Anolis sagrei: one gene and its partners. The protein of the gene in region 2 purifies or fractionates together with the protein of the main gene of each other region. This does not show direct contact. Links are inferred from orthologs where the notes say so. Each region holds a gene or a part of one and is shown on either strand. Other genes may lie near its edges.

Region 1 (6,845 bases), on a different chromosome or scaffold from region 2:
TTTGTTGATCTCCGTAGCTACAGGTGGATTCCCCTGGAAAGCCTCTTTATCACTCAGCTCTTCACTCGATTCGTTATCTAATGTCGCACCTTTTTATTCCCCTGAATGTCCTTGAGGCCCTGCACAGAATCACAGAGATGGAAGAAACCTCATGGGCCATCCAGTCTAACCCCCTGCCAAGAAGCAGGAATATTGCATTTAAATCACCCCTGACAGATGGCCATCCAGCCTCTGTTTAAAAGTTCTAAATCATCGGTTAACCCACCAGCCTCTGGCAGCTGATGTACAACACAGCTATATATAGTGTAGTTATATAAAATTGTATAATCAAAGTTTGTTGGGAGGATTCTTTTTAAATATTTTTAATTCGTGGGTGATTGAATCCATAGTAAAGAATCTATGGATACGGAGGGCTAGCTGTATAGAAACGTGGGTTAAGGCTTATCAATCTGCTACAGACTGCACACATCTCAAAACTACTTCCCTTTCAAAAGGCAATGGGAGGACTCCATTTATAAATACTGTGCTAGTTAGATATTCGGGCGTTGGAAGAAAGACGGAAACAGGGGAAAACATTGCAATTATTGTTTGATGCTATCTGTTTAGATTTCAGTGAGTCCTCTGTGGTAATGATTTGATCTTTCTCCCTTGACTTCTGGGAAGGATCTCTCTTAGATCTCATCTTATGCCGTCTCAAACTGGTATTGAAGAAAGTGTTTTCACTGTGCAGATGATTACATAGGAAATCATTAAATGATCAGTACAGACGGGACCTCAGATTGTGGACACCTTGAACAATGGTATCAATCAGGAATGAGTGTTTCTTAACACCTAGAAGCTGTAAACAAGCCAGCATTGAAGTGACTTTTGCCACTTTTTATCTGCTGCCTGGGAGAAGAGCCAAGGGCTGGACTGCAAACTGGAAGGCAACCTCCCTCCACCATACCAGCCCCACCCAGGGGTCAAATTAAACACCATAGAGAAGCAGTGCCAAGGAGGTGAACAAAGAGTGGAAATTCCTGCGTAAAGTCCCATTACGGAAGCACTGGGTGCTCTTTGTTGTCCTCCTGGGATTTCACCGTCCTGAATCATTAATTCAATGTCGTCTACAAGTACAGTGACCGAGTTTGCTAACACGGTGAAACCTATGTTGGGTCTGGGCATAATTGGGAAGAGAACCATACTTCCTTTACACCATTTTTGGTGTGGCATTTTGGAATAATGTGCACATTTTTGGTCATGGAACCTCAATATATAATACAGTATGGTACAATCTATATATAAATTAAAATGTTCGTTTGTGGGATTGACATAACTCAAAAGCCACTGGACAAATGGACACCAAATTTGGACACAATACAAGAGTGACCATCACTCATAAAAAACACTGAGAAACACAGCAGAAAAGACTTAAAAAGCCAAAAAAAATTAAAGCGCATGCGCAAAACCACATATACACACACATACACACACATAAAACACATATACACAAACTGAGCCACAGCAATGCGTGGCAGGGGACTTCTAGTCTATATAAATAAAAATGTAATTTTTGTTTGTGGGATTAACATAACTCAAAAACCAGTGGACAAATTGACACCAAATTTGGACACAATACACCTATCAGGCCAACAAGTGACTTTCACTCATAAAAACACAGTGGAAGGGACTTAAAAAGCCAACAAATAAAAAAAACATCCACAAGTATATACACATATACATAAATATATACACACATACATGCACATATACACACACAAAGCACATATACAGAGACTGGGCCACAGCAACGCGGGACAGTTAGTCTATATAAATAGAAATGTAATGTTTATTTGTGGGATTAACATAACTCAAAAAGCACTGGACAAATGGACACCAAATTTGGATACAATACACGTATCAGGCCAACAAGTGACCATCACTCATAAAACACTGAAAAACAGCACCCAGGGGGTGAGAGTTTTTGACTTAAAATGCCAAAAAACAAGAAATGTATTACACCGCATGTGCAAAACCACACACATATATATACACAAACATACATATGTACGCATATAAACAAATATATACACACTCAAAACACATCTACACAGACTGGGCCACAGTCATCAAGTAGATGATCCAAACATGAGCAATCCAAATGGTTACAAAATTTGGTACTTCTTAATTGTGAAGAAAAGGTACGTAAGAAGAAATGTTAGATATATTTCCAAATAAACATGGGGCAGGTAGCAATTAAAAAATGGAGGTGGCACCTGTCAGAGCAACAGGTGGTCTTGGGGATAAGAACCCCCTCCTCTGTTAAAAAACAATGCATAGAATCATTGAAGAACAGAATTGCAAGGCCATTCAATGCTAATCAAGGTGGCCAGTTGCAACATTCACACTTGCCTCAAGCAGACAAAAGTTCTTTCTCCCACCATGGACATTATCCCACAGATATAAAAACCGGTAATAGTATGATAGCTGGGTCTGGAAACTCTGAGTGTTACGGAGATGCCGCATCGCTCCTTTGGGAGCGCTGTTTGCACAAGAGAGACTTAGCTAATGTAAGCCAGGCCTGAGACAGATACTCTAGAAGGAATGTAAGAGTTCTTTAATGGTGAAACTCTAACCCTTACCCTAACCCTGATCCGTATGCGTAAGCCTAAGCCTAACCCCTACCCAAACCTTACCCTAAACTGTACTCTAACCATAACCCCCAACAGTAACCCTAACCCAAAACCTTGCCCTAACCCTAAGCATGCCGTCCTTTCTATCCTTCCTTCGCTCTCCCCGCTCTCTCTCCGCCTCCTCTTCCCTTATTCACAACTGCCTTTGCAGCATCTCCGTAATGCTGAGCTTCCGGGCCCAGCTATCATACTATCACCTAAAAAGCTCACTTGTCTAGTTTCCAACAGACCCCTCAACCTCTGAGGATGCATGCCATAGATGTGGGTGAAACGTCAGGAGATAATGCTTCTGGAACATGGCCTTACAGCCCAGAAAACTCACAGCAACCCAGTGATTCCATGTCATGAAAGTCTTAAACAACACAGAGCTGGAAGAGACCACATGGGCCATCTAGTCCAACCCCTGCCATGCAGGAAGAGCACAACCAAAGCACCCTCAACAGGTGGCCATCCAGCCTCTGTTTAAAAGCCTCCACAGGAGCCTCCACCACACTCAGGACAGAGTTCTACTGCTGAACAATTTTTTCTCATGTTCAGGTAGATGCATCTACACCAGTGGTTCTCAACCTGTGGGTCCCCAGGTGTTTTGGCCTACAACTCCCAGAAATCCCAGCCAGTTTACCAGCTGTTAGGATTTCTGGGAGTTGGGGGCCAAAACATCTAGGGACCCACAGGTTGAGAACCACTGATCTACACTGTAGAATAGATGCGATTTGACACCACTTTAACTGCAATGATTCCGTCAAAGGAATTATAGCTTTACAACGCCTTCTTTCTTCTTTGAGAGCGCTGGTGACTCTCCAAACTACAAGTCCCATGATTCCACAGCACTAAACCATGGTGCCAAACCGCATTCATTCCACAATGCAGATGCACCCAGAGCTGTTTCTAACGGAAGAGGCGGCTCTCATTCCCAAAGGCCACACGTTTCTTTTGGCACGCGCCACTCCTGGCCCGTCCACTGTCTGCGCGCGCATCTCAAGAACCCCGAGCGCGAGGACCGTTGGCGGCCCAACGAAGAATGCCCCCCCTCCCCCCGCCGTTCAGTCCCAAGGTGGGCGCCCTCAGCCGTTAACTTCCAAGCTTTGCCCATCCCGCAGTCGATCCCCATTGGCGGAGAGAACAGAGTGCTCGATGGCGATTGGCTAGGGCAGAAGGGATGGGCGGGGCCGAGGCGGAGATTGTTGTGGCAAGCTCTGGAAGATTCCTCCGCCCGCAGTATAAAACCGGAGGGGACGCGCCCGGCCCGGCATTAGAACCCGAGGCGGTGAGGGCGAGCCATGGGCAAGGACTACTACCGCACCCTGGGCCTGTCCCGCGGGGCCAGCGACGACGACATTAAGAAGGCCTACCGGAAGCAGGCGCTGCGCTACCACCCGGACAAGAACAAGGACCCCGGCTCCGAGGAGCGCTTCAAGGAGATCGCCGAGGCCTACGACGTGCTCAGCGACCCCAAGAAGCGCGAAATCTTCGACAAGTTCGGCGAGGAAGGTGCGCGGGGGCCGCGGGGTGGCCGGGGGGGGGGGGCAGGAGGGACCTGCGCATGCGCCTTGGCGTCACATTATTCGCCACGGCTCGATTCTTCAGAAAGCGTAGTTTGTTGAGGGACCAGCGCTCTTTGGCAGCCAGGGGCCTTGTCAGCAGCTGCCAGGGATCCATATCGTTAAAGTGGGCTCCAGCCGCATTCATTCCACAGTGTAGATGTAGCCTGGAGTGTAGCCTAGAAAACCAGCTTCAGCTTGGTTTGCTGTGAGTTTTCCGGGCTGTATAGCCATGTCCCTGACGTTTCATCCACATCTATGGCTGGCTCAGGTTGTTGATTCCCCTGCCATTCACGAGAAAGTACACAGGGAGTTTGCGTTGTGGCACCAAGAGCAGAGGAGAGAGAGAGGGGAAGGGTCTCTTTTCAGCACATCTCTGGGTATTACTTCCTGTAAGGTTTTAATCAAAACTAATAACTGGCTAAAGGCCCCCCTGGTGCTGCAGCAGATTAAACTGCTGAGCTGCTAACTTGCTCACCGAAAGGTTGGCGGTTTGAATCCAGGGAGAGGGGTGAGCCCCCGCTGTTAACCCCAGCTTCTGCCAACCGAGCTATTTGAAAACATGCAAGATGTGGGTAGATCAATAGGTACCACTTCTGCAGGAAGGTAATGGCACTCCATGCAGTCATGCCGGCCACATAACCTTGGAGGCATCTATGGACAACGCAGGCTATTTGGTTTAGAAATGGAGATGAGCACCACCCCACCCCCCCCCCACCCCCCCAGAGTTGGACATGGCTAGACTTAATGTCAAGGGAAATCTTTATCTTACTAACACTGGCTAAAAGTGAGGAATGATGAGTAGAAAGCAGAATATTCACACACAGGTATTGGAGGCAATCCGTGTCCCCTCTTGCTGAAGTTCCTTTGACAAACGTTGCCAGTTTGAGTTGTTCTGCCCTGATCTCGCTGCCCAGGCAAGACCTTCTCGATTTTGAGATGCCTCCTTCTGTCTACTTGATGATCACCCCCAATTTCCAGAGCTAGTTGGACGCCTTTTCCTCTGGAGCAACTGTTAAGACGATGCTGAAAACTCACAGCAAACCAAGCTTTTTCATGAAGGATGAAGTAGAAAAAGCAGACTGTTAGGAATTGGGCGAGTTGAAGTCTAAAACATCCTGGAGGGCTGAAGTTTGCCCATGCCTGAAGTAGAAAGTGGACGAGAAGGGCTGAAGAACGAGTTATTTCACTTTGTGGTTCTGGAAAGCAGTCCAATGTTGAGTTGCCATCTTTAAATAGTTCCAGTTATAACCTCCAACATCCACTATTATCTAAAGCAGTGGGTTTCAGATTTTCATCCCCCAGGAGTTTTGGACTTCAACTCCCAGAACTCCTAGCCAGTTTACCAGCTGTTAGGTTTAGTGGGAGCTCTAGTTGAAAACATCTGGAAGACCAAAGGTTGAGAACAACTGATCTACAGGCTCTTCCTGATAGGGAAGGCTACTTTGAAATCACCCAGATTTAGCAATAATTATAGCCCTCTTGTGTAGGATTTCTGTAGTGTCCTGCTTTGCATATCAGTCTCTTTGTGTCTTCAGGGATTTGTTTTTGCTTTGTATGTTTACTTTCTTGTTCTGAAGAACATCCACCCCTTCCGTAGAATGTTGAAATGTTTAGTGCGTAAAAGAGAAGCTCTCAACTTATTTATACAGATTGTGGTAAATTTCCATAGCTTTTCTGTATTGTTTCGATTGCACAGCTGGCATTCATGGAACATTCTGAGCATTTTCCTTTAAATGGGTGTTGTAGTAATTTGGCTGCATCTATTGGGCTGCATGACAGGCTGTCTGAGATAGGTGGAGCTTTTGTTACACAAGTCTTCTAGTCGTTGCTAGAATATTCTAGCATGTTCTTGTGCTTATCTGTTGCAGTGCTACCTTTTCCTTAGTAGAACTGTTTTTCTGCAAGATTTATACTTATTAAAGTATACAGATTAGGTGAAATGCATTCTGAATTGAGCTTTGTATCCAGGAGCATGGATTTAGTAGATCTTGTGAATAACTGAGAATTGTAGTTTTTTTATATGATTTGGACACTAGGGTACACAACACACAAATGTACTGAAGTTAGCTGTTGGGTGTGAGATTTGTTCGAAGTATTTCTAATTACCCTTATGCAGTTGTTTGACATGTCTGTAAAATGAGTAAAAATAATACTTAGGCTTTTTTGATATTGAATGATAATGTAACCTGAAAGCTGAGGCTTATTGTGTTTCCTATATTGCAGGACTAAAGGGAGGTGGTCCCAGCTGCAGTGGAGGTGGTCCCAATGGCACTTCATTCACCTACACCTTTCATGGAGATCCTCATGCCATGTTTGCAGAATTCTTTGGTGGGCGGAATCCTTTTGATACGTTCTTTGTTCAGAGGAATGGTGACGAAGATATGGACATTGATGACCCCTTCACGGGTTTTCAAAACTTTGGCAACATTGGCTTTTCCCGTGCTCGTGGGGGCCATGAAAATGTTCGCAGGAAACCAGATCCACCCATCACTCACGAGCTGAGAGTATCCTTGGAGGAAATTTACAGTGGATGCACCAAGAAAATGAAAATTTCTCACAAACGGCTAAATCCAGATGGAAAAACGACACGCAATGAAGATAAGATTCTAACAATTGATGTCAAACGTGG
Region 2 (7,129 bases):
TGCTCCAGATGATTTGGTGCTCAGTCCAGATGGTAAATCAGTACCCGGGCTGTAGCCCTTCAAGTCCCAAATGGAACAGGCCAACCACAGCATTTCAATTGCTACACCTTTTCCATTCCTTTCATGTCTGGGAAAATACAGAGGTAGTAATTTATGGGACAGGTTTGGCTACTTCGAATACGAAACTCTCTCCTTATAGCATATCTATTACTAATGGCAAAGCGAGCATAGCTTCCCAATTAGAGCAAAATTAGTACTGAGGGTGCTTTTATTGTGTTCATGTTCCTCGTTTACTATATAAAAAACTAGCTGGGAGGGTTGCTGGGAGTTGCAGTCCAGGAATAGGAAATTGGAAATATGCAGGGATTGGGATGCTCTCAAAGAAATCCAAGGAGAAGAAAGCTTGCATCCTGGAAGCAGTGCATTTGGATCATCCTCCTCTCCTAAAGGGCCTGGTCTAGGGGATGCTGGGAGCTGTAGTCCGAAAGAGAGTGTGGATATGCTTTTGTGTGTTTTGTTTACCAGGAGAGTAATTTTTGTGCATGCGTTGTAGAGTCTTTTTGGTTTTTTGGATTTTAAGTCCCTTCCGCTGTGTTTTTCAGTGTTTTTAGGAGTGGTGGTCACTCAATGGCCTGATAGGTGTATTGTGTCCAAATTTGATGTCAACTCATCCAGTGGTTTTTGAGCTATGTTAATCTCAGAAACATTACATTTTTTTTAATATGGTTACTAGCCGTTCCCTGCCAGACATTGCTCTGGCCCGGTCTGGTGATCCGGAAAATAAAGTAACGAGAAAGCGTTGGTTTCTAATCTGTCATTTCTTTATGCTTGTAGGTAAACAGTATTTCTTGTTGTTTCTTTGTCAGTGTTGGAGATTGCCTGGTTTGCCTCCTCTGGAACATGCAACATAGAATTGTCCTTGTTTAGGGTCCCTTTCCAATCTATGATACTATAGTAGTGTGTGTGTGTGTGTGTGAATCATATATATCTATCTACATCTATGGCTGGATGGCTCTTTGTCAGGAGGGCTTTGATTACGTTTTCTTGCCCTCGTGAAGGGAGTTGGACTGGATGGCCTTGAGTATTTGAGTATTTTCTGTTGGTCATGGGGGTTCTGTGTGGGAAGTTTGGCCCAATTCTGTCATTTGGTGGGGTTCAGATTGCTATTTGATTGTAGGTGAACTATAAATCCCAGCAACTACAATTCCCAAATGTAAAGGTCTATTTCCCCCAAACTCCATGTGTTCATATTTGGGCATATGAAATATTTGTGCTAAATTTGGTCTGGATCATTGTGTGAATCCACAGTGCTCTCTGGATGAAGGTGAACTACAACTCCCAAACTTAAGATCAATGCCCATAAATGCCCATGTTGGTCATGGGAGTCCTGTGTGCCACATTTGTTTGAATTCCATCATTGGTGGGGTTCAGAATGCCCTTTGATTGTAGGTTAACTATAAATCCCATCAAATACAACTCCTAAATGACAAAATCATTTTTTTAGTGATGGTCACTTCTTGGGTTAGAAGGTGTCTTGTGGCCAAATTTGACAGCAATTCATCCAGTGGACTTTGAGTTATGTTAATCTCACAAACAAACATTACATTTTTATTTATATAGAGTAGCTGTCCCCTGCCATGCGTTGCTGTGGCCCAATCTGGTGATCTGGAAAATAAAGTAATGAGAAAGTGTTGGTTTCTAATATAGGTAATTTCTTTCTGCTTGTGGGTAAACAGTATTTCTTGCTGTTTCTTTGTCAGTCTTGATGTAGAGATTGTCAGGTTTGCCTACTCTGAAACAGGCAACATATCATTGTCCTTCTTTAGAGGTCCCTTTCAAATCTAGGATACTATATCTGTCATATACATATGTGTGTGTGTGTGAATCATATCTATATATCTATATGACTGGATGGCTTTTTGTCAGGAAGGCTTAGATTGTGTTTTCTTGCACTGGTGAAGGGAGTTGGACTGGATGGCAGCATTTCTCAACCTGTGGGTCGGGACCCTGGGGGGGGGGGGGGTCATGAGGGGTTATCAGAAGGGTCACCCAGTGATTTCGGCCATAAAGGCCTTCAACAATACAATACAATACAATACAATACAATACAATACAATACAATACAATACAATACATACATACATATATATATATATTGTGTGTGTGTGTGTGTGTGTGTGTGTGTGTGTATAGTAAGCTGCTCTGAGTCCCCTTTGGGGTGAGAAGGGCGGCATATAAATGTCGTAAATAATAATAATAATAATAATAATAATAATAATAATAATAATGAAGACAGACTGTGGGGCAGACTGGTTCTGTGTTTATGCTGGGCCAAATAGGCCCACAACCTGCAACAAAAAAGGCACAGGAGATAAAGTAGATAAAGGAAAGGGCCTGAGGCTGTTAGGAATGGTGGGAGTTGAAGTCCAAAACCCCTGGAGGGAGGGCCCAAGTTTGCTCGTGCCTGATCTACCCTGTAGCCTGAATGCACCTTGGCACCACTTTGACCTGCCCTGTTTCAATGCTATGGAATCATAGGAATTGTAGTCTTAAAAAAACAAGCCTTCAGCCTCCTCTGCCAAAGGGTGCAAGTGCGTCTCCAAACTACAACTTCCAAGACCCCAGTACAAAGCGGTGTCATTGAAGTTGTGTGTTTTGGAGAGGCAGGAGAGGAGAACTCTGGGGATGGCCTGCAGCGCGGCTTCCCTTCGCCTAGTCCACGGTGCACGCGCCTCTTGCTTGCCCGCCCGCCCGCTCACCCGCGCGCTCCCTCCTTCCCCTTGGGCTGGTGCCTGACCTGAGCTCGAGCTGGTCGAGGCTCTCCAGGAGGCGGCTGGAGCGGTCGGCCATGGAAGTGGAGCGGAAGAAGCGGCCCCGGCGAGGCGGCGGCACTCCCCCTTCCCCGGGCTCCGAAGCGAGGAGGCTTTTGGAGGCGCTGCTCTTGGCCTGGGCCATCGCCGCTCCGCCTCAGCTTCTCCCTCTGCCTGCGCCGCCCGAGGCTCCTCCCTCCCGAACAAGGAGGACAGGCAGCAGGGCCGCCCAGGGCACGCCTGCCCGCCCTTCTCCAGTCTCCAGTCCAGGCTGCTCTCCAGTCCAGCTGTTTTGGACTTCAACTCCCACAATGTTGGACACCACCAAAGCCTTCCAGGCAGATGGCCACAGCCATAGTTAGGACAGACATTTTATATATATATATATATATACACACCCACACACACAATCGATATCATAGATTTGGAAGAGACTACAAGGACCATCCAGCCCAACCCACTTCTGCCATGCAAGAAGACACCATCAAAGCCTTCCAGGCAGATGGCCAGACAGCCATTGTTATGACAGATATTATATACAGTATATAGAAAGAGAGAGGGGAGGAGAGAATGTGTGCGTGCGTATATATATATATATATATATATATATATATATATATATATATATAGTGTGTGTGTGTGTGTGTGTGTGTATACACACACACGTACACACAATAGATATAATAGATTTGGAAGAGACCACAAGGACCATCCAATCCAACCCTCTTCTGCCATGCAAGAAGACACCATCAGAGCCTTCCAGACAGATGACCAGCCAGCCATAGTTGTGACAGGCTACACACACACACACACACATATATATACACACACACAAGCAATAGATATAGATCTGTAAGAGACCGCAAAGACCATCCAGTCCAACCCTCTTCTGCCACACAAGAAGACACCATCAGAGCCTTCCAAACAGATGACCAGCCAGCCATAATTGTGACAGGCTATACACACACGTATACACACACACACAATAGATATCATAAATCTGTAAGAGAGCACAAGGCCCCTCCAGTCCAACCCTCTTCTGCCACACAAGAAGACACCCTCAAAGCCTTCCAGTCAGATGGCCAGGCCATCATAGATATGATAGACGTCATTCAATACATGCACACACACACAATTTAGAATCCTAGAGTTGGAAGGAACCCCAAGGGGCCATCCAGTCCAACCCTCTTCTGCCCTGCAAGAAGACACCACCAAAGACTTCCAGGCAGATGGCCAGCTAGCCTAGATATGACAGACATTTAAAATATTTTTTTACACATATACACACAATAGATGTCACAGATCTGGAAGAGATCATAAGGACCACTCAGTCCAACCCACTTCTGCCATGCAAGAAGACACCATCAAGACCTTTCAGACAGATGGCCAGCCAGTCATAGTTATAACAGGTGCTCTCTCTCTCTCTCTCTCTCTCTCTCTCTCTCTCTATATATATACACACACACACACATACATACATACATACAAACAGTAGAGATCATAGATCTGTAAGAGACAACAAGGACCATCCAGTCCAACCCACTTCTGCCATGCAAAAGTGGGTGTCCAAAGCCTTCCAGGTGGATAGCCAGACAATCATAGATATGATAGACATCATTCAATAAACACACACACGTACACAGTTTAGAATCCTAGAGCTGGAAGGGACCCAAGGGGCCATCCAGTCTAACCCTCTTCTGCCTGCAAGAAGACACTACAAAAGCCTTCCAGATAGATGGCTATACAGTCATAGATATGATAGACCTCATTCAAAACACACCTACATAAACAGATGCACTCACACAGCTTAGAATCCTAGAGTTGGAATATCAACTTTTTTCCTCCACTCATAAAAGCTGTCCTGATGCTCTCCCAAAAGTGAAAGGTTTTGCCTGCTCTAACAAGTCCTTTCTTCCTCTTAAGTTTCTATTAGGACCCAGCAGCCCTGCAGTCTCTTGAGCGCATGCCAAGGGCTGGCACAAACTTTCCTTTCTTTAACTGCACTGCAGTGATTTGGTTTCTCAACCTTCTTTTCAAAGAAGAGGACAGGGTTTTTTACAAAAGTATTTCTTACCAATTTAGATTTTTTCCTAGAAAATGTTATTTTAAAAAAACACAACTGAAGTTAATTTTCAAAAATACAGCAACACTACATTAAGGACAGCAAGAGAGTGTGAGAGTGTAGACCAGTGTTTCTCAACCTTCCTAATGGTAGACCCCTTAGTACAGTTCCTCATGTTGTGGTGACCCCCAACCATAACATTATTTTCGCTGCGACTTCATAACTGTAATTTTGCTAGTATTATGAATTGTAATGTAAAATCTGATATACAGGATGTATTTTCATTCACTGGACCAAATTTGGCACAAACAATTTGAATACTGGTGGGGTTGGGGGGAAGATTGATTTTTGTCATTTGGGAGTTGTAGTTGCTGGGATTTATAGTTCACCTACAATCAAAGAGCATTCTGAACTCCACCAACGATGGAATTGAAGCTAACTTGGCACACAGAACTCCCATAGACAACAGAAAATACTGGGAGGGTTTGGTGGACATTGACTTTGAGTTTGTGAGTTGTAGTTCACCTACATCCAGAGAGCACTGTGGACTCAAACAGTGATTAATCTGGACCAAACTTGGCACGGATACTCAATAGGCCGAAATGTTAATGGTGGGGCTTGGGGAAAATAGACCTCAACATTTGTGAGACCTCACAACCTCTGAGGATGCCTGCTATAGATGCAGGCAAAACGTCAGGAGAGAATGCATCTAGAACATGGTCATATAGCCCAAAAAACCGACAACCCAGCCTGGCTCTTTCTTGAGCCCCGATGGAACCCCCAGTGGTGCAGCAGGTTAAACCGCTGAGCTACTGAACTTGCTGACCAAAAGGTCAGCGGTTCAGATCCAAGGAGCAGCATGAGCTCCCGCTGTTAGCCCCAGCTTCTGCCGCTCCATGTAATCATGCTGGCCACATAACCTTGGAGGTGTTTACAGACAACGCCTGCTCTTCGGCTTAGAAATGGAGATGCGTGCCACCCCCAGAGTTGGACACAACTAGACTTAATGTCAAGGGGAAACATTTATCTTTTTTCATGAGTCAGATTTTGATGGAGGGAGAAATTGGTTCAATTGGTGGCTGGGAGATTTCCAAAAATCAGACTGCAATCGTAACTTAGGCTATAATTGCTAGTTTAAGTTCCTGAAAGTTGTGGCACATCAAACAGTACTGTAAAGTCATTTTGTTAGGGGCCTTAACAGCAACTGGAAGTCTTTTTATAAATAGGTACTTGAAGATGACAGAAGACTTTCCTTTTATGAAAGGAAGTATGTTGTGGCTTCAGAGTTCAATAATGTTAACCATAATTGGAAGGACTAGAAGACTGTGCGTCAAGATGGTATTCACTCACTCATGGGTTTCGTTACATAGCTTTAAAAGGTTTGATGCTTTCTAGCTCAACCCCTTTTCTCCATAGCCCTGAAAGCACGAGTACAGAAACTCATGGTCCGCCAGACACTATAAAAGTGCATGTTGTAAAGACATTGACCATGCCGCATGGAGTTGATATAGAGCCGTGCTGTACCTTTTCTATGGGGAGTTTTTCTCCCCTTCAGAAAAAACAAAGGTGCTATTTTCACATGGCTTGCTATTCAGAGCGTAGGTGTTAACAGAATACTTTCTGGACAGGATCATCTTACAGGGCTTATTTGTGGGCAGGTTGACCGGCACTCACTCCCTCGGGGAAGATTCGCACAGCTATATCCGCATGGCTAAAAGCAAAAACATGTGGATATTGTTACAGCAGAATGTGTCAATGGACGAAGGATGGTCCCTGGTGGGAAGAGGGTGGTAATAGCAACATTCAGATTGCATGCTGTGGGTAGACTTTGGGAATTAAAAGTTAATGAAGTGAAAAAAGGAGCACTTTAGCAGAGAATGTTAATACACGTGTCTAGTTTGAATTAGAATTTTATTCCAGTTGGATTAGTAATAGAATACAGCACTTAGATCTTGAAGGGTATTGATTAGGTGATTGAGACTGTATGAAAAAGATGGGAATGCTACTCACCAACACCCTTCTGAAATGTGATAGTCACCCCAAAGATGGACAATATTTGTTGGTCTCCTTATAGCAAGGGAATGAGACATGTAGGGAACTGCTCGAAGTATTTAAGGTCTTTCCTAAGGATAGCTTACATTTCCCCCTAGACCAGGGGTCCTCAAACTAAGGCCTGGGGGCCGGATATGGCCCTCCAAGGTCATTTACCCGGCCCTCACTCAGGGTCAACCTAAGTCTGAAATGACTTGAAAGCACA
Region 3 (7,914 bases), on a different chromosome or scaffold from region 2:
CCATAGAAATCCATTGGAGGATCTTGAGATTCCTAAAGAACTGTTCTCTCTAGAAATCTCGATGGCCCCTTTCTACACTGCTATATAAAATCCAGATTATCTGCTTTGAACTGGCTTGTATGGCAGTGTAGACTCATATAATTCAGTACAAAGCAGATAATGTGGTTTATCTGCTTTGATAATCTGGATTATATGGCAGTGTAGAAGGGGACTATGTCATCCAGCATAGAATAATACTGAAGGACCGACCCAGGGCCCTTCCACACAGCCCTATATCCCAGAATATCAAGGTAGAAAATCCCACATTATCTGCTTCGAACCGGGTTATCTGAATCTACACTCAGATAATGTGGGATTTTCTGCCTTGATATTCTTGGATATAGGGCTGTGTGGAAGCCCCCCAATTTTAAATAATTAGACATCCTCCAGCTGTTTCGGCCTCCAACTCTCAGAATATCTGAACACTGTACAAGCTGGATAGGGCTTCTGGGAGTTGGGGGCCAAAACAGCTGGAGGGCTGCGGTTTGAGAATGCCTGGCCAAAACAATAAATGTGTGTGTGGGGGGGGGGGGGGAGTGGCAGTGTTGTGAAACAAGGAGCGTTAGAAAACTAAGGGACACATGGCAAGCCAATGCTATCCTTTTCTCTATCACAGATCATTATTTCAGGTTAGCATTATACCAGTGGTTCTCAACCTGGGGTCCCCAGATATTTTTGGCCTATAACTCCCAGAAATCCCAGCCAGTTTACCAGGTCTTAGGATTTCTGGGAGTTGAAGGCCAAATATATCTGGGGACCCCAGGTTGAGAACCACTGTGTTACACTCTCCCATATTTGCCAGGAACTAACTGAGACACTATAACTACTCAGAGAGTGCCTCCTTACCCAGATGCCATCCCGAGATGTGCTGGGGTTGGCCCGCTTCCCTTTGGGCATAGTTTCTTGTTACATGGAGCTCAACTCCACCAGTGACATGGAGAAAACAGAGGGCTCTTTTGCCACTGGTCTCTGGACAAGGCTGAGGAAGACCTGGTTGCCAAGGTCAACAGTACCTCCTTTCCCTGCATCTTCAGGACAGCATTCCAGAACCTTTGGATTAGTCTCTCCCATTGGATGTCCGGCAGGATCTGATCCTAGAGCTTTCCAAACATTTCATGTTGGTGACACACTTCTTAGACATGCATCATTTTGTGACACAGTAATTCAGCCTTATTATAGCATAACCCATCCGCTTTATAAGAAATATGGACACAGACATAAAATGTATGTAACACAATCTATCATTAAAAAATTTGAAAAAATGTAATAAGCCACAAAAACTTTGTTTATGCGGGACATCCTGCAGCACATTTTGCTATAGTTTTTCAATGAATAGCTCAAAGCATATCAACCAATTGAACAAAGTTTGTAGCAGCCACAAAAACGAAGTTTCTGGAGTTGAACTACTTTCAATTCAGCAGGAAATAAGACTTCCAAACCAGGAACAGAAAAAAAATCAAATTTTGTTACATAGTATTATATGGCAGTGTAGTTCTGCAGCACATTTTGCTAGTTTTTCAATAAGCCCTCCAATCTTCCGACACATCATTTTGACATGCCAAGAGCTCTGGATGGAGGGGCCTGAGCATGCTACGAAGCCCCTAAAGTAAGTTTAGGAGTCAAAAAGGGGCTGGGAGGGGAGGTGCCATCCTGGAACCCAAAGAACAGGGATCGCTGTGGGGAGCCAATCCCCAGAGGCTGAGCACCTCAACTGATCAGGTCCTCTCAGTAAGATCCAGATATTTTGAGGTGTCAAATTATTCTAATCTGGGAAATCTAAGGGCCCTTTCAGAAAGGCCCTATAATCCAGGATGCAATCCCAGGTTTTCTGCTTTAAACTGGATTATATCAGTCCGCACTGCCAGATAATCTGCGATAAACAGAAAACCTGGGATCAGATCCTGTGGTATAGGGTCTGTCTGGAAGGGCCCTAAGGCCCCTTCTACACTGCCATATAAAACCCAGATTATCTGCTTTGAATTGGATTATAAGGCTTTTTTTTTGTTGTTCATTCGTTCAGTCGTTTCCGACTCTTCGTGACCTCATGCACCAGTCCACGCCAGAGCTCCCTGTCGGCCGTCACCACCCAGAGCTCCTTCAAGGTCAATCCAGTCACTTCAAGGATGCCATCCATCCATCTTGCCCTTGGTCGGCTCCTCTTCCTTTTTCCTTCCATTTTCCCCAGCATAATTGTCTTCTCTGAGCTTTCCTTTCTTCTCATGATGTGGCCAAAGTGCTTCATCTTTGCCTCTACTATCCTTTCCTCCAATGAGCAGTCGGACTTTATTTCCTGAAGTATGGACTGGTTGGATCTTCTCGCGGTTCAAGGCAATCTCAGAACTTTCCTCCAACACCACAATTCAAAAGCATCTATCTTCCTTCGCTCAGCCTTCCCTAGGGTTCGGCTCTCACATCCATAGGTGACTATGGGGAATACCATTGCTTTAATTATGCGGATCTTCGTTGCCAGTGTGATGTCTCCACTCTCCACTATTTTATCGAGATTGGTCATGGCTCTCCTCCCAAGAAGTAAACGTCTCCTGATTTCCTGGCTGCAGTCTGCATCTGCAGTAATCTTTGCACCTAGAAATACAATGTCTGTCACGGCCTACACGTTTTCTCCCTCTATTTCCCAGTTATCAATTATTCTTGTTGCCATAATCTTGGGTTTTTTTATATTCAGCTGCAACCCAGCTTTTGCGCTTTCTTCTTTCACCCTGATTAGAAGGCTCCTCAGCTCCTCCTCGCTTTCAGCCATCAAAGTGGTGTCATCTGCATATCTAAGGTTAATTTTTCTTCCAGCAATTTTTACTCCAGCCTTGCATTCGTCAAGTCCCGCATATCGCATGATGTCTTCTGCATACAAGTTGAATAAATTGGGTGAGAGGATACAACCCTGCCGAACACCTTTCCCAATCTGGATTTTATATGGCAGTATAGACTCGTAAAATCCAGTTCAAAGCAAATGTGGATTGTCTTATTTGATAATCTGGATTATATGGCAGTGTAGATCCTACCTGAGGCTCCTTCTACACTGCCCTATAATCCAGATTATCAAAACAGATAATCTACATTGACCAATGAAACCCAGATTATAATCCAGTTTTAAAGCAGATAATCTAGGCTTCGTAGGGCAATGTAGGAGCCCGAAACACCAGCTCTAATGAAAAGAGGCCCCTTCCACACTGTCCAGAGATCCCACACAGCCAAATAACTAGAATATCTGCTTTGAACTGGGTTATCTGAGTCCACACTGCCATCTATTCTAGTTCAAAGAAGATAATGTAGGATTTTATTCAGCGGTGTGGAAGGCAGATTAGTGAGATGGGCCAAAACTAACAAAATGAAGTTCAACAGTGACAAATGCAAGATACTAAACTTTGGCAGGAAAAACGAAATGCAAAGATATAGAATGGGGGACAATGCCTGGCTTGAGAGCAGTACGTGTGAAAAAGATCTTGGGAGTCCTCGTGGACTACAAGTTAAACATGAGCCAACAATGTGATGTGGCGGCAAAAAAGCCAATGGGATTTTGGCCTGCATCAATAGGAGCATAGTGTCTACATCTAGGGAAGTAATGCTACCCCTCTATTCTGCTTTGGTTAGACCACACCTGGAATATTGTGTCCAGTTCTGGGCACCACAATTCAAGAGAGATATTGACAAGCTGGAATGTGTCCAGAGGAGGGCGACTAAAATGATCAAGGGTCTGGAGAACAAGCCCTATGAGGAGCGGCTTAAGGAGCTGGGCATGTTTAGCCTGAAGAAGAGAAGGCTGAGAGGAGATATGATAGCCATGTATAAATATGTGAGAGGAAGCCATAGGGAGGAGGGAGCAAGCTTGTTTTCTGCTTCCCTGGAGACTAGGACGCGGAACAATGGCTTCAAACTACAAGAGAGGAGATTCCATCTGAACATGAGGAAGAACTTCCTGACTGTGAGAGCCGTTCAGCAGTGGAACTCTCTGCCCCGGAGTGTGGTGGAGGCTCCTTCTTTGGAAGCTTTTAAACAGGGGCTGGATGGCCATCTGTCAGGGGTGATTTGAATGCAATATTCCTGCTTCTTGGCAGGGGGTTGGACTGGATGGCCCATGAGGTCTCTTCCAACTCTTTGATTCTATGATTCTATGACTGTGAGAGCCGTTCAGCAGTGGAACTCTCTGCCCCGGAGTGTGGTGGAGGCTCCTTCTCTGGAAGCTTTTAAACAGAGGCTGGATGGCCATCTGTCAGGGGTGCTTTGAATGCATTTTTTCTGCTTCTTGACAGGGGGTTGGACTGGATGGCCCATGAGGTCTCTTCCAACACTGATTCTATGACTGTGAGAGCCGTTCAGCAGTGGAACTCTCTGCCCCGGAGTGTGGTGGAGGCTCCTTCTCTGGAAGCTTTTAAGCAGAGGCTGGATGGCCATCTGTCAGGGGTGCTTTGAATGCAATATTCCTGCTTCTTGGCAGGGGGTTGGACTGGATGGCCCATGAGGTCTCTTCCAACTCTTTGATTCTATGATTCTTTGATTCTAAACTAACAAAAGACCCCTATTCCTTCTATCAGCGTTGTCCGGGCTCTGATTACTTATGGCAGTGATTCCCAAACGCGTCTTCTACAATTCTGGACTCCAACTCCCAGAAGCCTCAGCTGCCTTCTCCAATGACTAGGAATCCTGGGAATTGAAGTCCAAATTAGCTGGGAGATCAAAGGTTCCACCCACTACACTTTCCCAGACCCTCTTCTAGGTTTGTATACAAGCGCTTTGACAGAGATCTCGCGAGTGTTGCTCCTCCTCGGCGAGAGCTTGTGAGAAGCATTGCAAAGAGCCAACGAAACGCAGCGAGGGCAAGGAGGGGGCGGGGCTTAGACTTTTTTTCTATATCCGAGCTCTTTCCGGATGTTTCTAGGAGGCCGAACGTGGAGAAGGGAGCGGACTTCCGGCAGCTGAGCCTGAGGCGAGCGGCGAGCGAATGGGGGACTCCAGGGAAGCGGGGGGCGAGGCGGGCGCCGGGGCTTCTCCGTCGCCGTTGAAAGGAGAGCCAGAGGAGCCCAAACAGGTACCGAAGCACCGCAGGCATTGGCCAACGAAGGAGTGGGAACACTGTAGAACTCATGCAGTTGGACACCACTTCAATTGCCATGACTTAATACTGTCCTGGTGTCATTTCACAAGCTCTTTGGCCTTCTCTGCCACAAGAATTTCTGGAGCCTCCCCAAACTGTAACTCCAATGATTCTCTAGCAGTTGAAAGTGTTATGAAACTACATTAATTCATTCTAGTCTAGATGCAGCATAAGCTTCAATGAATGACCCTTCAATGCAGTATATAATTTTATTTCTTTCCCGCCTCTCCTCGTGACGGGTTACACAATAATTAAAACACGTATAAACACTAAAAATAATAATAATACTTTATTTATACCCCGCCACCATCTCCCCAAGGGACTCGGAGCGGCTTATATGAGGCCAAGCCCAACAACACATCAATAAAACAAGAAAGCAATAAACAAAAACAATACAATTGTTATAAATCACATATAAACAATAACACACAAGATTTAAAAACCTATGGCCGGGCCAAATGTAATAGTTTAAAATTAAAAATAAATGCTGGGTAGGAACAAGGTAGGATATATCTGGTAGGAGGGTTTTAAAGAAGTGGGGGGAGTGCAATCCAACAAATAGTTAAGGGGGGCATTTTGCTGGGAATTAATTTCCTTATTCCGGGAAGGCACACTGGAACAGCCACGTTTTCAGGTTCCTCCTAAAGACTCCCAATGTTGGGGCATGCCTGATATCCCTGGGAAGTGAGTTCCAGAGTCAGGGGGCCACCACCGAGAAGGCCCTCTCCCTCATCCCCACCAACCGTGCCTGCGAGGCAGGCAGGAGCGAGATCAGGGCCTCTCCAGATGTTTGAAGAGATCGTGTGGGTTTGTACACAGAAATGCGGCCATGCATAAAAATAAAAATACTTCAAATAATAATAATGAGTTGTTGTAGATCTTTTGGGCTATATGGTCATGTTCTAAAAGCATTCTCTCCTGACATTTCACCTGCATCTATAACAGGCATTCTCAGAGGTTGTGAGGTCTGCTGAAAACTAGGAAAATTGGGCCATAGCACGTCATGTCTGAAATTTAGAAGAACAAATGGTCCATATGGGTGGCTTTGCTTTCTGATGGTTCTAAATATAGAAACTATAATAATTTAGATTTTTTAATATATGAAACATAAGTGAATTCCGTGCATAGACTTGGATCTCTTCTCCAAGAGATCTCATTATGTACATATATGCAAATACAGGTATTCCAATATACACACACGCTGTGTGTGTGTGTGTGTGTACACACATATACACACACTGTCTATCCCAAACATTTCTGGCCCCAAGACTTTTGGACGATACAATTAATAGAAGTGCAACAGAGGGAATTTCAGCTGTCATGCAAGACTATGACTGGAGACCAGGGTTTGAGTCCTTTCTTGGCTGTGGAAACCTACATTGGGCAAGTCACACACACACTCAGTCATAGAAAACTTTATGACTTATTTGTGAGTGAGAGCAGGGCCTCCCTGGATGATCTTAAACAACGAGACAGGACGTAGAGGGAGATGCGTTTGGACAAGTAAGCTGGGCCAGAACCGTATAGGGCAAAGGTTCTCACCCTGTTGGTCCCCAGATGTTTGGTCCCCTGGCTACCATAAATTGGAAATTACTTGATGAAAGACAACACCTGTTGAGATTTCTTCTTTTACACAGCTATTAAGGGGGCAAGAGTGTATAGAACAGGGGTCCTCAAACTAAGGCCCGGGTGCCGGATACAGCCCTCCAAGGTAATTTACCCGACCCTCGCTCAGGGTCAACCTAAGTCTGAAACGACTAGAAAACACACAACAACAACAACAACAACAACAACAATCCTATTTCATCAGCCAGAAGCAGGCCCACACTTCCCATTGAAATACTAATAAGTTTATATTTGTTAAAATTGTTCTTCATTTTAATTATTGTATTGTTTTTAAGTGTTTTTTGAACTACAAATAATATATGTGTAGTGTGCATAGAAATTCATTCATTTTTTATTACAATCAGGCCCTCCAACAGTTGAAGGGACTGTGACCTGGCCCTCTGTTTAAAATGTTTGAGGACCCCTGGTATAGAAGTTGGAAGAGACCCCAAGGGCCATCTAATCCAAGCCCATTCTGACATGCAGGAACCCACAGTCAAAGCTCCCCCAATAGATAACCTTCCAGCCTCAGTATAAACACCTCCAGAGAAGGATACTTCATTGGGCCCTAAGGAAATATACTCTACTGCCTAACATCTCTTACTGTCAGAAAGTTCTTCCTAATGTTTAAGTGGAATCTCTTTTCCTGCAATTTGAATCCTTTCTTCTATTGTGGCCTGGTCTCCAGAGCAGCAGAAAACAAGCTGTGACATCCTTTAAAATATTTAAACATGGCTATCAAGTCTCCTCTCGACCTTCTCTTCTCCAACTTAAACATATCTAGCTTTGCCGGTTTTACTCTGACAACCCTTCTTGCTTTTGAAGGGTGCTATGAAACAGTTGGCACTGAACAGCCAAAGGAATGCATTTAGATGTTGTAATAAAGTCCATCGGATAATATCCAGGAACAGCTGTACTATGATAACTTAATTGGTTTTTAAATTATCATAAGATACTTTGTTTTTCTCTTGCAATAGTGTACCATGGCTATACCTTTGTCAATATTGATGTCCCAAAAGCCTTTCTTAAAAAGCCTTAGATATGTTCTGGTAGTGGTATCTTGTCTCTCTCTTGTGAGAAAAATATTGTTGGATCCTGGAAAACTTTTGGTATTGAAGTCATACCAAAAGATCTCCTGTTATCATTGTAATGTTTAATGGAGA
Region 4 (7,113 bases), about 59 Mb from region 2:
ACGTCCAGAGAGAAAAGCCTGGCAACCTGTGAGGGGCGACTCCAGAGATGGCACCCTGCTCCCCAGCCTTCTGCAAAACACCTCTGGGAGCCTCAATGGGGCCCTTTCCCCAAGAAGGAGGCTGGGGCCTGGGGGGGGGGGAGGGGGAAAGCCTCCCTCGGCTCCTGAGTCATCATCCATGTTATGTTTCCAGCCTCTGAAGTACAAACCACACTCCAGCACCAGGAAGTGGTGCTGAAATGGCGACCCCAGCTCCCTTTCCTGCACTGAGAGGGAGGGACCCACTTCTTTCCATTCAAACGTTACTTTGGACCCATATATTTTATGTGTATGCCCTAGCGCAGGCATGGGCCAACTTGGGCCCTCCCTCCAAGTGTTTTGGACTGCAACTCCCCCCCATTCCTAATAGCCTCAGGTCCTTTCCTTTCCCCTCTCAGCCACTTAAGCGGAGGAAAAGGAAAGGGGCTGAGGCTGTTAGGAATGGGGGGAGTTGCAGTCCAAAACACTTGGAGGGAGGGCCCAAGTTGGCCCATGCCTGCCCTAGCATGTGCTTTGAAGAAATGCAACGTGTTCGATACGTAATGGTGCATTTCAACGTCCTTGTGCCATAAGGAGAAGCAGATAATACTATGAAGAAAAATGGCTGGGAAGGAAAAGGAGGGGAGCAGTTGGCAGAAAGAAAGGGAGACCCCTCCCCTCGTTCTCTGTTGAGCAGAAAATGCAGAACCAGGGTGGCCATTTCAGCACTACTTCCTGGTGCCTGCTGGAAACGTAACATGGATGACTCAGGGAGGAAGGAAAGAAGAAAGGAAGGAGAGGGAGGGAAGGAAGGAAGGAAGGAAGGAAAGGGGGAAAGAAAGCTAATAAACGAAGGAAGGGGAGGGAGGGAGGGAAGAAAGAAGAGAAGGGAGAGAGAGGGAGAGGAGGAAAAAAAGGGAAGGGAGAGAGAAAGAGGGAAAGGAGAAGAAGGGAAGGAAGAGAAGGAAGAAAGGAAAAGGAGGGAGAGAGGGAAAGGAAGGAAGGAAAGGAAGGGAAGGAAAAGAGGGAGTGGGGAAGAAGGAAGGGGAGGGAGGGAAGGAAGAAAATGGAGGGAAGGGGGAGAGAGAGAAGGAAAAGAGGAAAAGAAGGAAGGCAGGGAGGGAGGGGGAAGAAAAGGAGGAAAAGAAGGAAAGAAAGGAGAAGAAGGGAAGAAAGAGAAGGAAGAAAGGAAAAGGAGGGAGAGAGGGAAAGGAAGAAAGAGAAGGAAGGAATGATGGAAGGAAAGGGAAAGAAGGAATGAACGTGAGGGAGGGGGTGGGAAGAAAGGAAGGGGGAGGGAGGGGGAGAGAGGGGGGGTGCCGAGACCGCTTGGGCCACCTCAGCACCCCTTCCTTCCTCTTGGCCCGTCTTCCTGGCCACTCACCGGAGGCCTTGGCGCCGTTGCCCTCGTAGCCCAGCAGCCGCCCTCCTGCTCCTCCTCCTGCTGCTGCTCCTGGTGGCGCTGCTCCGGCGGCGGCGGCGGCGAGGCCGGGCTCCTTCTTGAACTTGCCCTCGTAGGGGACGGCGTGTCCGCCGTGCTGCAGGGCCAGGAGCGTGTCCCGCACGGTCTTGGGCTTCCCCAGCCACTCCTGCTCGGAGCCCCCGCCGCGGCCTTTGCCCTCCAGCGCCTCCAGGCCCTCGACGGAGCCCCGCTGCGAGGCAGGGCCCTTGTCCTTGTCGGCGTCGCCTCCCGAGGAAGACGAGGAGGAGGAGGAAGAGGAAGAGACGGAGCCGGGCCTCTTGTGCGGAGGCGCGCCTTCTCCCGCCGCCACGGAGACCTGCAGCGGCGGCCCGGTGATGGCGGCCAAGGAGGCGGCGGCGCGGCTGCTGAGCCCGGGGAGCGCGGCGCCGTTCATGAGCGGCACCAGGGTGGGCGCCACGGCGTGCGTGGTCCTCCGCGGGTTGGGGCTTTGGCGGTTCAGCTCGGGCGGCTCCTCGGGCTTGGGGAAGCCGTTGGGCACCAGGATGCCGTTGACTTGCCGCCCGCCGTACTCGGGGCCCAGGCGCGGTGGGGCCCGCTCTGAGGCGGCGGCGGCCAGGGCGTAGCGCTCGTGCGGCGGAGGCCCCCCGCGGGAGGCGGCCTCAGCGGCGGCGGCAGCGGCGGCAGCCACGGCGGCGGAGTGCATCTCCTTGGCGCTGAGCGGGGGCGGCGGCGGAGGGGGCGGCGGGGCCTTGGCGTGGGGGCCTTGCTGGGGGCCCGCTCCCCCGCCGCCGCCCCCTCCCCCGCGCGCCTCCTGGAAGCTGTGGGCCCGCTTGAGCTGCCGCGCCGTGTCGATGACGAACTCCACCCGGTCGGCGCCCTCGTAGTTGACGCAGCCGCGGCAGACGGGCTCCGTGAAGTCCCAGATCATGGCCCAGGGCATGCGGGGAAGGTCGCAGAGGTAGCACGACTGGCGGCGGGAGGCGGCCGAGACCGCCACCGCCGCGGAAGACATGGCCGCGGGACCCGGGGGCGGCAGCAGCAGCAGCACAGCCAGCGGCAGCGAGCACGGGCCTCGCCTTCCTTCTCCTCCTCCTCCTCCTCTCCCTGCAACAGCAGCCTCCTCTGCTCCCGCCGGAAAAGCAGCCGCGCCGTCGCTCCTTGGCAAAAACGCCTTTCCTCCGCTACCGCATCGCCCGGGCCTCGCGCTCTTCCTTCGCGGCTCGTGCTCTCCTTTCGTGGCTCGCGCTTGCTTGCTCGCTCACTCTCTCTCTCTCTCTCTACTACCACCGCGCTGCCCAGACGCTCCTTCTCTCTCTCTCTCTCTCTCTCTTTCTCGCGCTGCTGGGGCGGGGACTCCACGAGCCGCCGCCGCTGAGTGCGTTCTCGCTGCTCCAGTGACTCGATTCTTCGACAGTGCCCAGGAGCGCATGCGTACTAGGCTCTCCCCCTCGCCGTTTCCCTCCCTCCTCCTTCCCTCCCTCTCCCTCTCTTCCTCCTCCTGCTGCTCATTGAACTTCTGCCAAGACAACAAGGGCTGCGAGAATAACCAGCTCTCTCTCCGAGTCAGCACCGGGGAAAGGGAGGGAGGGAAGGAGGAAAGGGAGGGAGGGACGGGAAAGGGCTCTCGCGTGTGAATGGAGGCCAAGGTGGGGGGAAAATTTCCTCGCCCTCAATGCGGATGCCAGGATTGGGGAGATTCCTTTTTGCATGTCCCTCTTTTTGCCATTTTGTATGTATCTGTATTTATTTTCGGGCGATTCCTTGGGAGGGAAAAGGGCTCTCGCGTGTGAATGGAGGCCAAGGTGTGTGTGTGTGTGTGGGGGGGGGGGGGGGTTCCTCGCCCTCAATGCGAGTGCCATGGATGGGGAAATTCCTTTTTGCATGTCTTTTTTTTGCCATTTTGCATGTATCTGTGTGGTCTGGTTGCCCCTGACAAGATAAATAAATGTATCTGTGTGGTATTGGGATACTTCAATTGCATGTGTGTGTATGTGGCTTCACGTCAGGTTTTGGGATTCTTCAATGGCCGCCCTTTGAAAAAAAACAACAGCAATCTAGGTGACCATTCGACTTCCTGATTTTAATTCAGATTTCAGCATGCATTTTTCACGTTCGCACCTTCAGAAACAATGGTTTGACGGCTTCTCCATTGATAATACAAAGGCATGGAATATATATACAAGGAATAGAAATACTGTACTACAAGGATTATAAATATTGTAAATGGAATATAACACAAGGAATATAAATACTGTAAATGAATAAATAAAGGCATGGAATATAATACAAGGCATAAAAATACAAGGGATATAAATACGGTAATACAAGGAATATCAATACTGTAAATAAATAAAGGCATGGAATATAATACAAGGAACATAAATACAAGGAATATCAATACTGAAAATAATGAATAAATAAAGGCATAGAATATAATAAGGAATATCAATACAAGAAATATAAATACAATAAATAAATAAATAAATAAATAAAGGCATGGGATACAAGGAATATCAATGCAAGGAATATAAATACTGTAATACAAGGAATTACAAAAGGAAGATAAATGCTTTTGAACTGTGGTGCTGAAGGAAAGTTCTGAGAGTGCCTTGGACTGCGAGAAGATCCAACCAGTCCATACTTCAGGAAATAAAGCCCGACTGCTCATTGCAGGGAAGGATATTAGAGGCCAAGATGAGGTATTTTGGCCACATCATGAGAAGACAGGAAAGCTTAGAGAGGACTGATGCTGGGGAAAATGGAAGGAAAAAGGAAGAGGGCCGACCAAGGGCAAGATGGATGGATGGTATCCTTGAAGTGACTGACTTAACCTTGAAGGAGCTGGGGGTGGTGACGGCCGACAGGGAGCTCTGGCATGGGCTGGTCCATGAGGTCACGAAGAGTTGGAAATGACTGTACGAATGAACAACAATGCAAGGAATATCAATATTGTAAATAAATGAATAAATAAAGGTATGGAATATAATACAAGGAATATCAATAGCGTAATACAAGGAATATCAATACTGTAATTAAAGACATAGAATGTAATACAAGGGATATCAATACTGTAAATAAATAAATAAAGACATGGGATATAATATAGAAATAGTATACAGAAATATAATAGAAATACTGTATTACAAAAAATAGAAATACTGTAAATGAATAGGCAAACTTACGCCCTCCCACCAGGCTTTTTGGACTACAACTCCCACCATTCCTAACAGCCTCGGGCCCTTTCCATTTTCCCTTCAGACGCTTAAGCCTGAGGCTGTTGGGAATGGTGGGAGTTGCAGTCCAAAACACCTCGTGGGAGGGCCCAGGATTGCCCGTGCCTACTCTAGAGAAACCCCATTAAAAGTAAGTGCAACTCATAAACATGGTGTTTCTGGTGCAGAGCCTAACCCCAGGCGGCCCTTTCCCCCTCTTTCCCACCCTCCCCACCAGGCCCGCAGCCAGGATTTCGTTTCGGGGGAGGGGGGGCTGATTTTTTTCGGGGGGGGGGTTGGGGAGGGCTGAGTTTCGGGGGGGGGGCTGAGTCTGAGTGAAAGAGGGTCTAGCCTAGCAAACCTTTTGTATCATTACCGCAATACCCCCGTGCATATGGGATATATTGAGTATGGTGATCAGATCATGATATGAATAAACATAACAGTTTGAATAATGCACCAGTAAGGCCTTTTCGCGAACCACGCTTTCGCCCACGCTTTCGCCCCCTTTCCCGTTCACACGAGACGCGTGAACCAGCGGCGATCCCGCTTCACTGCCTGCGTGCGCCCTGGGGATTGTGCTGCGTAAACACAAGAGCCAGCCGCTCCCCGAAAACTGCCGCCTAGGTCACCATTCCCACAGTACTACTATTATTATTATTGCGGCGGCGGCGGCTGCTGAGTTATGTAGGTTACAAAGGGAGGGAGGGAAAAAAGGAGGCGAGTTTCTGACGTTTGCATTTTGGTCCAAGGGCTCCTCCGGCCTGCGCATGCGCAGTCGGGGACGTGACTCTATGCCATTGGCACTCGAAGCCTTGTTAAGCGAAATGCACATTCCAGGGACGAGAGAGAGAGACAGGGGGGGGGAGAGAGAGAGAGCGAGCTGCGGCCAGCGCCGTCACAGCCTTCAAGCCCCGCCCCTTTGCTGCTATTTCTGGGCGCGCGGCGCTCCCTCCCTCGCAGGCTTAACTTTTACTTAAGATAGCATGGGCAGTTTTTGCAGGCTACGGCGGCCGAGTCGGGTCAAACAACTGCAACAAACAAACAAAGCGCTTTAGCGTGTCCTCCCGCGTGCTTGGCGTTGGCAATGATTCCGCGCCGCGCCTTCTTTGCAACCAGGCCTCAGGAAAGACGGTTTTGGCATGTGGCGGATTTACCTTTCCCAATTTTTTAAAAACAATACAAAACACTGTGTTGGCAGAGGCAGCCGCCCAGAAACCGATTTGCCTCTGCTGCAACTCCTTTGCAGTCCTGACTTGATTAGCATTGGGTTGTTGTGTGTGTTTCCGGGCTGTATGGCCATGCTCCAGCAGCATTCTCTCCTGACGTTTCGCCTGCATCTATGGCAGGCATCCTCAGAGGTTGTGAGGTCTCGCAACCGCTCAGCGTGCCTACCATAGATGCAGGCGAAACGTCAGGAGAGAATGCTTCTTGAGCATGGCCATACAGCCTGGAAAACACACAAAACAACCCCTCACAACCTCTGAAGATGCCTGCCCTAGATGCAGATGAAACGTCAGGAAAGAATGCTTCTGGAACACAGAAAGCACACAACAACCTACCACAACCTCAGAGGATGCCTGCCGTAGATGCAGGTGAAAAGTCAGGAGAGAATGCTTCTTGTACATGGCCATACAGCCCGGAAAAACACAAAACAATCTATCACAACCTCTGAGGATGCCTGTCATAGGTGCATGCAAAATGTCAGGAGAGAATGCTTCTGTAACATGGGCATTCAGCCCAGAAAACACACAACAAGCCCTCATAACCTCTCAGGATGCCTGCCATAGATGCAGGTGAAACGTTAGGAGAGAATGCTTCTGGAACATGGCCCTACAGCCCAGAAAACACTCAACAACCTCTCAGGATGCCTACCATAGATGCAGGCGAAATGTCAGGAGAGAATGCTCCTGGGACATGGCCATACAGCCTGGAAAACACACAACAATACATCTCTTTAAAGTAGCCTTTGTAGTCCTGGCTTGATTAGCATTTCCAAAAGCAAAAGCACAGGTTAGGGTTGGCTGTGGACTCATTGCACGGGAGCCTGAACGACACGCTTTACATTCTCACGTTCCTAAGCAACGGTTGATGGTTTTAAAGAGCCATCTTAACACTGTAGAATAAATACAACTTGACACCCACTTATTTCATCCTGGGGAAAAGAAATTAATAAAAGGTAAAGGGTGAGAAAAATGTACTGAATGTGTGTGTATGTAAAGCACTCCCCCTTTGAACTGGATGGAACTGGTTGTGAGCTGGAAGAGCAGAGTGCAGATGCTTATCTTTGCCTCTGGATGGGCAAAGAGGGAGGGAAAGAGAGAAAGGAATCTTGCTGACGTTTCTGCCTCGTTGCTATTCCAAACGCAGTCATTGTTGTTTGAACAGCCTTTCCTAATGAAGCGGAAAGGAAAGAGGGAGGGAGAAAGGCAAGAGAGAGAAAGAGAGAACACCGCCCTA

Evidence for each region.
Region 1: the proteins of BAG2 (region 2) and DNAJB1 purify together in Homo sapiens (affinity purification with mass spectrometry; 4 studies listed by BioGRID and IntAct, with this or other methods). This does not show direct contact. The link is inferred for Anolis sagrei from reciprocal best matches to the Homo sapiens genes BAG2 and DNAJB1.
Region 3: the proteins of BAG2 (region 2) and EDRF1 purify together in Homo sapiens (affinity purification with mass spectrometry; 3 studies listed by BioGRID and IntAct, with this or other methods). This does not show direct contact. The link is inferred for Anolis sagrei from reciprocal best matches to the Homo sapiens genes BAG2 and EDRF1.
Region 4: the proteins of BAG2 (region 2) and IRF2BP2 purify together in Homo sapiens (affinity purification with mass spectrometry; 3 studies listed by BioGRID and IntAct, with this or other methods). This does not show direct contact. The link is inferred for Anolis sagrei from reciprocal best matches to the Homo sapiens genes BAG2 and IRF2BP2.

Annotation. Positions count from the first base shown.
Region 1 is NC_090022.1:128,013,707-128,020,551, forward strand, and holds the start of DNAJB1 (dnaJ homolog subfamily B member 1), read left to right. Parts: upstream 1-3,842; 5' UTR 3,843-3,952; coding exon 3,953-4,163; intron 4,164-6,439; coding exon 6,440-6,845. UniProt on the Homo sapiens protein: Interacts with HSP70 and can stimulate its ATPase activity. Stimulates the association between HSC70 and HIP. Negatively regulates heat shock-induced HSF1 transcriptional activity during the attenuation and recovery phase period of the heat shock response.
Region 2 is NC_090021.1:118,661,743-118,668,871, forward strand, and holds the start of BAG2 (BAG family molecular chaperone regulator 2), read right to left. Parts: upstream 3,005-7,129; 5' UTR 2,956-3,004; coding exon 2,798-2,955; intron 1-2,797. UniProt on the Homo sapiens protein: Co-chaperone for HSP70 and HSC70 chaperone proteins. Acts as a nucleotide-exchange factor (NEF) promoting the release of ADP from the HSP70 and HSC70 proteins thereby triggering client/substrate protein release.
Region 3 is NC_090023.1:196,759,899-196,767,812, reverse strand, and holds the start of EDRF1 (erythroid differentiation-related factor 1), read left to right. Parts: upstream 1-4,913; 5' UTR 4,914-4,993; coding exon 4,994-5,080; intron 5,081-7,914. Other genes in the region: TEX36 (testis-expressed protein 36), read right to left, coding at 886-936. UniProt on the Homo sapiens protein: Transcription factor involved in erythroid differentiation. Involved in transcriptional activation of the globin gene.
Region 4 is NC_090021.1:59,346,678-59,353,790, reverse strand, and holds the start of IRF2BP2 (interferon regulatory factor 2-binding protein 2), read right to left. Parts: upstream 3,011-7,113; 5' UTR 2,454-3,010; coding exon 1,403-2,453; intron 1-1,402. UniProt on the Homo sapiens protein: Acts as a transcriptional corepressor in a IRF2-dependent manner; this repression is not mediated by histone deacetylase activities. Represses the NFAT1-dependent transactivation of NFAT-responsive promoters.